Caenorhabditis elegans: one gene and its partner. The protein of the gene in region 1 purifies or fractionates together with the protein of each later gene. This does not show direct contact. Each region holds a gene or a part of one and is shown in the gene's direction. Other genes may lie near its edges. The genes, in order: sqst-1 and lgg-2.

Region 1 (5,411 bases):
ACGAAGATCATTCAAAGATGAAATCCATTAGATTTATATTGCTTGTTTTTAGCTGTTGTAGAATTATTTTTGTTGTTACTATCTGAATTTTTAATATTAATTTTCGAATCTTAGGGAACATCGAGATCATTCGTGGCATATCATAAAGTTTAAGCTTCCAGTCCGTAATAGATTGCTTTGAAGGGGTCCAGTTTGAGAAGTTGCAGGTGTTTTTCGTTTCGGAAAAAATCGAGATTTCCTGAAATGCGACTGTCATGAGTCAAATTTCAGAAAATTCCACGTTTCAATTTCGATGTTAGATTATAGAGACCTTTCTAGCTTCCCATTTCACAACAAACCCCTCTTCATCATCATGACGTCATACAGTCTCGTTCTCTTCTCCAAATATAAATGATCAGCTGTACAGTCACTAAATGCAGCATATCAGTACCTTATCAATTGATAGCATCACCACATGTTCATCTCGCCTCAAATTCAAAAAAAAAGCAACACTTCACTCCTAAAACAGTTCCATTTTCGGTCGATAAACCATCGATTCCCCGTTCACTCAGCTGTGCGTATTTTCTCGTCATTCGTCTCTTTCTCACAGCCTACACTATTCGCGAAGCCGTCTGCAATCTGCGTCTCACCTTGGGCCCTATGCAGAGGGACAATCAATCGGCCTAGAGGAGGCTGGTCATGTGTTTATGCATAGAAATATCGAGAAAGAATGCGAGACACAGAGATGAAGAGGCATCATTCGGCCTCATTTTGCCCATAGCAACACTTACACTCGTAGGCTCGGTAGTGGAATGTTCCAGATGAATACTCTTGCTTTGACACGATATTTAAGTAGGAAATTCCTTTTCTAAAATCTAAAACTAGCAATTTCTTGCGGTTGTGTAACCGAATCAAATATTCGAAAATTAGCAAAATTTCGCAATGAATATTCTCGTTTTTTGGCAAACCGTTTCTTTTTTGTCATTTTGACTATTACACAGTCTCCTCCAGTGGAAATCGGTCCGTTGGCGCACTTCTCGTGCATCGCGTGGAAAATTGAGAAATTACCAAAACTTTCAATTTACTGTTTTTCTTTATATTTTTCATAACATAAGCTTGGGTGGAAGATTACTTTTCAAATAAACATCAATTTCTACTAGAAAAATGATGATAAATATACAAAATATGAGAAAAACTCAATTTTTAGTTGTTTTTACTTTTTATATCAGCGCTTTTATTTTTGAACCAAAATCAAAAAACTTTTTTCTCCACCTTTCCCCGAATTAGCTTTACAATTGATACCTAATTTCAAAGTATGAAATCGATTTTAAACCCACAAAAACCGAAGGAAATCATTTTTCAGTGGTAAAATTTTGCAACGCTCACGAGAAACGCGCAAGCCCCCTTGTTGGGTCATTTCCACGTGAGGAGGCTGTGTATTATCCTTTCTGATTTTTTCCGTCAAAAATACGGTACCCGGTCTCAACACGCTTTTTTGTTGTAAAATACAAGCAAGTATGCGCCTTTAAAGAGTACTGTAATTTCAAACGTTTTTTGCTGCTTAATTGTTTTCCTTAACAATTTATTTGTTTATTTAAAGACTAAAAATTGAAATTTAAAAGCACAGAATTGTTTTAGAAAAAAGTTTTAGAATACAGTACCGGTTGGAATTTGAAAAAAATTGTCGTGTCGAGACCGGGTACCGTAGTTTTGGCGCAAAAATCACAACATTTCGCGTATGGATAATATTTAATTGCATTTTTACATAACTTTCTTGTAGGCCCAACAGTACCTACTTGCCTGCCTACAGGCAACTCTCTACTGCTACTAAATTTTTGACGCCTTCACGAAATTAGTCACTTATGATAATGAAAGTTTATATTTTAGTTCTAGAGAATCTGTTCAACTAGATCCTAACAAAAATAGTCTCCAAGAAATTTAGATGAATGATAATAAAAACTTGTTGGAAGTGATCTACTAGATCTAGATACCACCTTGAACTTTGAAGCCTTGAGTGTTTTTCTTTTCATATCTCCGTTCTTGCCCCCTTTGTTCATCTCGTAAACATCTTTAAAGGTTCCAAAAATAGTACATTTCCTTTTTGTTGTTGCATTATTCTCCAAAAAAATGAATTATGGTTTCAATTTCTTACACAATACAATCATTATGATGATTATTCGAAGTATAATATTTCGAAATTTCCTTTTTTCGATTTCGCAACTCTCGCAACTCAATAATGTCAATACTTGTTCTATTATCTTTCACTCTCTTTTCACTCACTTTCAAATAACTTCTCATTTTACTCAGATGGCTGCTGCATCATCCGCTCCTCACCAAATGCAAGTTCGTGTGACTTTCTATACAAGTCACAATCCGCAATCGGTTCTCATGATTTTGAAGAACGATCAGGCTCTTCAACAGATCTCCGAGAAGGCAAGAGAACTGTTCCCATCGGCTGATTATCGTCTCTACTACGGTAAGATATTATACTTTTGTTTTTGCCCCGTTTGCTAGACGAATCAATTGTGCAAATAGAGTATTTGTATGCCACACCTATGTTATGACAAAAAAGTACGGTGCCCGGTCTCGGCACGATTGAAATTTTTAATGGACGTTCCGAGGAAGAGTGTGCGCCTTTAAACAAACCATTTTTTTAAATTTAAAGTTTAACTAGATTTAAAAGGTCGTTATTTTTGTAAAACTCAATTTAATTAGATTATATTTAAGATTTCTAATTTCCCTAGATATCTCACAGTAACTTTTTTCCAAATCTTCAAATTTTCAGGTGATGTCAACGGACCAATCTTTGAGTTCACCAATTCGGATCAGATTATGTCTAAGATTCGAATCACTACATTCTCTCGAACTCCTCAACTTTTTGTTCGCCTGGAAACTGTTCCCCTTCGTCCAACAGCCCTACCATCAGTGAGCACTGAAACTGCCAAAAAAGCTTCCGATGCTGATCGTGAATCAAAGAGCAGATCCTCGCTGAAGCGTATCGAGAACAACCAGGAGCTCACATTGAAGACGCTGGAGAAGTTGCAAAAGGAGCTCTCAAGAGTTAGCGCTTTGGAGACGATGGTTGCTGATCTTCATGCAAAGGAAAGAGAACCTGTTGTCGAGGAAGTTCAGAAGCCATTCCCTCCAGTGAAGCACTCGGCGTCTTGTGATGCTTGCCTCGGTGACATCATCGGACATAGGTTCAAGTGTCTCGAATGTGCCGATTATGATTTGTGCGAGAAGTGTGAGAGAAAATCTTTACATTATGAGCATGCAATGATCAGAATTGTGGAGCCAAAGAAAACAATGATCCCATCATATGTGACATCAAACTCTCCGAACAATGTCTTCCCAACTTACATGCAGCACAAGATCCAACAACCACAAACTATCAAGGGGATCAACAAGACTGTTATCACGAGACTCGTTCCTTCACATCAAGTTAATCCAGCTCCAATGCCTCAAGCTCCACCAGTCTCCACTCCAGTTCCATTCCCTCCATCTCCAACCATCGGAAATGGAGCAGTTCCAAAACCAGCCCAGGAGCCTCGGATCCCACCATCTCCAACTTCTGCTCTACCACCACCACAATTCTTCAATGAGGAGACCCGTGCAGCCATTATTAATAGTGCAGCGTTGCTCAAGGAAACTTTCAGTACTTTGAGCAGAAGCTTCTTGGATTTGGCAGATGGTGCACAGGCCAATATGGATAAAAAGATCATTGAACGCTCGACCATGGAAGCAGGAATGACCAAATTCGAAGAGAAAATGGATAATTTGAAAAGACACTGTGAGGAGAAATATCTTGGAACGGAAACTGCTGAAGCTGAGAAGAGCGAGGAATCTTCGAAGAAGCAAGCAGATAGCTTGTCTGGACCAAAGATCAAGAAGGCTAAGAAGAAGTCCTGCTACAAGAAATCTGCCGAGAGACTATTCACAATGCAACTTGCTGCGGCGGCTGCTGAGCAAGCCCGTCTTGAACAAGAAGCCAAGAAAAGAGCTGAAGCCAGCTCTGCTGAATTACAGAGGAAACTTGCTGAGCTTAATGTGAAGGAATCTCAATCAAAATCCGAGGAAAACATTGCTGACTTTGTCCTATACGATCTTTACGGAAACTCCTTGGAAGCTTTGTTGAGAGGTCGTTCGAGCTCTAGAATCGCCGATCCTCCGACCACTCCAAATACCGAACCAGCCACCACAGAGTTAGCTTCAACGACCTCTGCAACTCCAGCCGTCACTGCTCCAGCATCAATTGTTCCAGTTACTCCAACTGCACCAATTGTTGAAACTCTGATCGTTCCACCACTTCCACCAGTGGAATCAAATCCAGAAGAGGTTACACCAATGGTGACTGCACCAATCTCAATTCACTCTTCTTTCGAGAACATTTCTTCGGATTTCGAGAGCCTCAGTCCATCATGGGGAGGATACCCAGATTTGGAAGCTGCACAACGTCTAGAAGTCATCGATGATAACTTACTCGACTTCTCTGATGTTGCTGTTGAAGCCCAGGAAGCTCAAGAAGCTCAAGAAGAAGCTCGCCCAGAGCCAGAGCAATCTCTACCACCATTTAATGAGGAAACTGAAAAGGTAAATCTAAATGTCGTCCATGAATCCCCTAATCTAACGAATTTTCAGACATTCGATCGTCTCCTTGAGATGGGATTCTCCTACAACGTCACTGTTGCTGCAATCAGAGCAAATGGATCGAATCTCGAGATGTGTCTTCAGGCGCTTCTTCACTAATTTGTACATCCTGTATCGTGTCGCCCAACCAACTCTCTCCTAGATACTATTAGTCATTTTCATCATTCCAATGGAAAGCTGTATCTATTTTTTCTCGTCTTGAACCTGAAAATGTTGCTTTTGCGTAAATTGCTTTTTTAATAATCTGAAATTAATAAAGTTGTGGCGAAAAATTATTGTCAGCTGGTTTATTTCAAGTATGGTGTTGCTTTCTGAAACTTGGAGGCTGAATTTTTCTTACATCTGTAGAATTTTATCACATTTCGAATAATTTCAGATAATTTTTTAAAAAACCTTTTCCAAAACAAACTATGAAAAATAAACTTCAAAACATCAACTAGTTCTATTCTCAGGTTGAATATCATTCATTACCAAAAGAGTTAAAGCGTTTTCCAGAAAAAGTTTCGATAATTTTCCAAAAGCCAATTCGAATATTTTCAGCAAGTCGCCGCGTACATTTAGAAGCATCTATCATCTTTGGCATATGGAAGCGAACAGCTTTGAGCAATACGTTTTTTCAGTACAGTTACAAAATCCCATTTTTCTCATCGTTGCATCGAAGATTTTTTCAAAAATTTATATAGCAATAAATAACAATATGTGTACATTTTGAAAATACTTTTACTTTAGATGGAAAGTTTCGAAAATTTGCTCAAAAACCGGCTCAAATATCAAAGTGCAAATCG
Region 2 (4,322 bases), 1.1 Mb from region 1:
CATATGGTACAAAATGTTGGCAGATTAGTGATACTAAAACTGAGATAATGATGACTGTGGTTAGTGAATAACCTTGTGGTGGGGCCGATTTCGGATCTTCTTGAACTACTGAAAATTATATGTTTTTATTTGGAAAATAATCAAAAATGTACCATTTAATTTGGAAGGTCTTCGGGTTTTTTCCAAAAGATAGGAGAAATCATCGGAATGAGTTCGTCTTCGAACTGACATCACATTATTTAAAACTATCTGCAAAAAAACAAATTTTCCAGAACTTATTCATGCATTTGAAGCGAAAACAAGAAAAAAGATCTGCAAATTAATTTTGAGCATGATTCCACCTTTCGCTTCGAGACCAGAGTAAAAAAACGTTAATGCGCCTTTGAGTTACGGTAGTACTGATTAATGGTTTGAACACCAAATGCATTTTTTTTCGATTTTGGCATGTTTTCCTTCTTTTTTTTCAAGTTATATCCGAAAAACCTAATTTAAAAAACTGAATAATCTTTTATCTAAATATTAACCATATAAATATCGACATTCCACTCGATTTCACAAGAAATTTCTTCATCTTTGAAGTTCGTACGCGGAAAATGCTATTAAAGAAAAGAAAATAAACGAGACGCAGACAAATGCACACGGCGTGCGCAGTAACATATCGATTTTGAGACGTAAACATAATTGAGTTCACTAGTCATGAGAGTCTGTTTACTCGTACATCGATTTTTCACTTTTCTTTCTTTCCCCTCATCACTTATTGTTTTGCTCTTTCCATAGTTTCGTCCTCATCTCAAAACTTCTTTCGAAATTATTTAGATACCCGCATTTTCAACAACGGAAAATCTAAGGAAACCCTTAAAATGTCAAAAAAATATCGCAGATTGCCAATTTTTGCTGTGAAATCTTGATCATATTTCATCACTTCTCCCTTTTTCGAAAATCGCGTCAAAGATCTAAAGTTCCGAGAAAAAAGTTTGCAGAAAAAAACGTCAGTTGTTCTGATTGGGAGTAGTAGATTCAGACTGGAAGTTCTAGAGATCATCTGGTTCCCCTGCCCTTTATCTCTCCCTGCCACTATTTTCAAAGTACAAGCACTTTTTTTACGTAGACCGATATAAAAGAGTTGGCTGGTATAGATAAAATCTTTAGTTTTCCGTTAATTTAAACGGCCCATTTTAATATTAGAAATTTTCATTCATAAAACCAAGCATTTTCACACTAGAACATTAGTTGAGAAGTTTTCTAGGAAGTATTCAATTAAAACGTTTTCTCCTATAACTTTCTTAGTGTCGCCAACAAGTCTCGCTGTCATATTTATTTAATTCGTTGCCACTCATCGTTTCAAATTTCGCTATCATTTCATCTGTCTGACACTGCTTCGAACTTCTGTATTAGCTGGGAGAAGGGTCATAATACACACTCTCATCTTCTCTAACTCTATTCTTTCTTTTCCCCATCTATTCCTTCATCACATGATTCTTCTCTTCTCATCGTCTCTCCGTCTCGCGGTCATGTGTCCTCGACGCTCAGTCGATCTTGTGGTGTGAGAAAAGAGAGTAGCATCAATGAAGAGACACAGAGGACAAAGAGACATACAGCAAAAGAGCGTGTGTGCTGCCTACTGCCTCTGTCTCGATTTTTCCCTCTGTCCCATTCCCTTTCACCTGTCTTTTCGCTTCTTGATAAAAAAATTCTCACAAAAACATACAGTGTCCTTTAGCATCTCACACTCTAATTTCTCTTCTAAAATCAGTTTTCTCAACTTTTCAAATACCAGTTACCATTTTTCAAGTTTGCAGATCGAAAATCGGGTCTCAGCACGAAAAAGTGAAGAAGCGTTTATGCTAGCCACGCTTCAAAGTTACACACAAACAGCGATGAGCGGAAATCGGGGAGGATCTTACATTTCCGGAATCGTTCCATCGTTCAAGGAAAGAAGGCCATTCCGTAAGTTTTTTAAAATTCATTTACTAATCAAACAATTGTCATCAAAATAAAAATAGAGCTTCAAGTCTCACTTTAATTTTACTTTAACATCAAACATCTGGTTTTCATCCCAACCAATTCATTCCCAATCATTCCCACTTTTTTTTCCTTCACCCGTCCATTGTAAAAGGTCAGAGACGCAGAGGACAGACACCCCGCGTCATGCGTTTCAGCGAGAGAGCATGAGGAAACAAGAGACAATATGCAAGTGAGACATGTGAAAATCAGCTGATCTTGTGTGAATGAGTGACTATGTCAGTGGAGCAGCACCCATGGAACATTGCGTATTAATTGGGTGCTCTTCGTTGTATGAAAGAAAGAGATAGATGGACCTGAGAAACAAAGATCAATAGGGCAGGTGCAAGGGAAATAGGATTATAGGAAAATTTGGATCAATATTGATATTCTAGAGTTCAAAATATTGCCCACCATTCAAGATAACAACCAAAACTGAACGTACGCCAATCTTTAAATAGAAATATGAATTTTACGAGTGGAAAAGAGAAATCCAGAACTGAGGAACAACTTTTTTATTTTCAAATTTTCGAAAGAAAACCTTTTTAACCTATTCGATTTCAGATGAGCGTCAGAAAGATGTGGAAGAAATCCGCAGCCAACAACCGAACAAGGTTCCGGTAATTATCGAAAGATTTGATGGAGAACGCAGTTTACCACTTATGGATCGCTGCAAATTCCTAGTACCCGAGCATATAACCGTTGCCGAGCTCATGTCAATTGTTAGACGACGGTGAGCTATTCAACTGAGTTGTTTTTTCAAAATCATCCGTTTGCTTTTCAGCCTCCAACTTCATCCACAACAAGCATTCTTCCTGCTCGTCAATGAACGCTCAATGGTGTCAAATTCTATGAGCATGTCCAATTTGTACAGTCAAGAGCGTGATCCAGATGGCTTTGTGTATATGGTTTACACGTCTCAACCAGCATTTGGATAACACATCAAGAGCCGTTTTCCATCACAATTCTAATCAATTTTTAAATTTCCACCAACACCACTGATTGCCCAATGCAATCCTCACTGTAAAATGTTGTATTTTTAAATGTAAATACCTGAAAACCCATCATACTCAGGCGCCAACCATTTTTCTAGTTGCCTTTGCTAATTTCGCCCCTCGCAATTCCCCACCTCAAAACTTCCAGCTGAAATTTGTTTTACAAACGAAAAAAAAGAAACCCAAATTCGCTTACGTTTTCGTGTAGTCTTTATGTGTTCCCTCATAACTCTTTCTCCGCATTTTCCAGCCCGTTTCTTGAATTTCTTCATGTCTTCTTTTCACAACTGATCCTCTTTCAACAAAATTTAAACCGTTTACGATTCTGTGTACTTGGCTAGTCTCTAAAGCCCATAGGGACTATTTTCCTTACTGCCCTGAACATTGAAATTTACCGCTATGGACTTTCTGACTGCCTAGACGGATTCAATTCAAAATTATTACATCTTGTTCCATCGTTACTTTTCCAAATTCAATGTATCAAATGTTTTGTATGTAATAACAACTTTTTCGTCGTTTTTATCTGGAGAATGTTCATTCACAAGGAGATCACATACATATATAATAATAATAAGAGATGATGATGATATCAACGATTATTCTTCTTCCTGGGTTGCGAATGGATTGGCGATTTGCTCGAGTCCATCTGCTGGGCTAACTACTGTAATTGCTGTTCCGCGAGCCACAATAAGACCCAGTTGTCTTAAGATAAAAGATAAGATAAAATCGAAAATCTAGATTTAATTTGAAATCCAAGCTTTAAATCGATTTTTGGAAATCTATCAATTACCTTGTCTCATCACCGACGACCGAAGGATTTTGTGGATCACGGAGATACTCGCGGCAGTCATCAAGAACCATATTGAGCAACTGATCGAATCCTCGAAGCACGCCACTTGCTGAAATTTATACATTTTTATGGAGTGAAGTACAGCTTGTGTATGTTGGACGCTTTCATATTGTTTAAATAGTTTAATGACGGAATCTTATTGCTAGTGCACATCATTGTGCAAAAAAAAAACCAACCTTCACGTCCTCCTTGGAACTTGACGCGAATCTCTTTGTCGAGAAATCTGGTGAGATCAACGACAGACTCCTTCTTTCGTTTTCCTTCGTCTTTCTAAAATAATACAACAATTATAAATAACTTATTCATTGTATTTTTAAAACATACCGACATTTCTCTGTGTTGAGTTGTGGTGAGTCTGAAATAATTCCGAAATTTTGAATGAAATTATCGATTACGAATGAAATAAATTAAGCTGACAAAATCTTATTGATTTAGAATTTTTTTAAACGGTATTTTTAATTGATAAATTATGATTT

What was found.
Region 2: the proteins of sqst-1 (region 1) and lgg-2 purify together in Caenorhabditis elegans (affinity purification with western blotting, with the first as the bait; one study listed by BioGRID). This does not show direct contact.

What each region holds. Positions count from the first base shown.
Region 1 is NC_003282.8:12,031,996-12,037,406, forward strand, and holds sqst-1 (ZZ-type domain-containing protein), read left to right. Parts: upstream 1-2,286; coding exon 2,287-2,455; intron 2,456-2,764; coding exon 2,765-4,569; intron 4,570-4,617; coding exon 4,618-4,725; 3' UTR 4,726-4,896; downstream 4,897-5,411. Other genes in the region: mrpl-51 (Large ribosomal subunit protein mL51), read left to right, coding at 1-31.
Region 2 is NC_003282.8:10,933,381-10,937,702, reverse strand, and holds lgg-2 (Protein lgg-2), read left to right. Parts: upstream 1-1,799; 5' UTR 1,800-1,841; coding exon 1,842-1,947; intron 1,948-2,565; coding exon 2,566-2,734; intron 2,735-2,785; coding exon 2,786-2,939; 3' UTR 2,940-3,507; downstream 3,508-4,322. Other genes in the region: Protein adenylyltransferase fic-1, read right to left, coding at 1-108, 153-231; lsm-7 (U6 snRNA-associated Sm-like protein LSm7), read right to left, coding at 3,593-3,698, 3,787-3,895, 4,023-4,116, 4,171-4,176. UniProt on the Caenorhabditis elegans protein: Ubiquitin-like modifier involved in the formation of autophagosomal vacuoles (autophagosomes). When lipidated mediates tethering between adjacent membranes and stimulates membrane fusion. Less effective at promoting membrane fusion than lgg-1.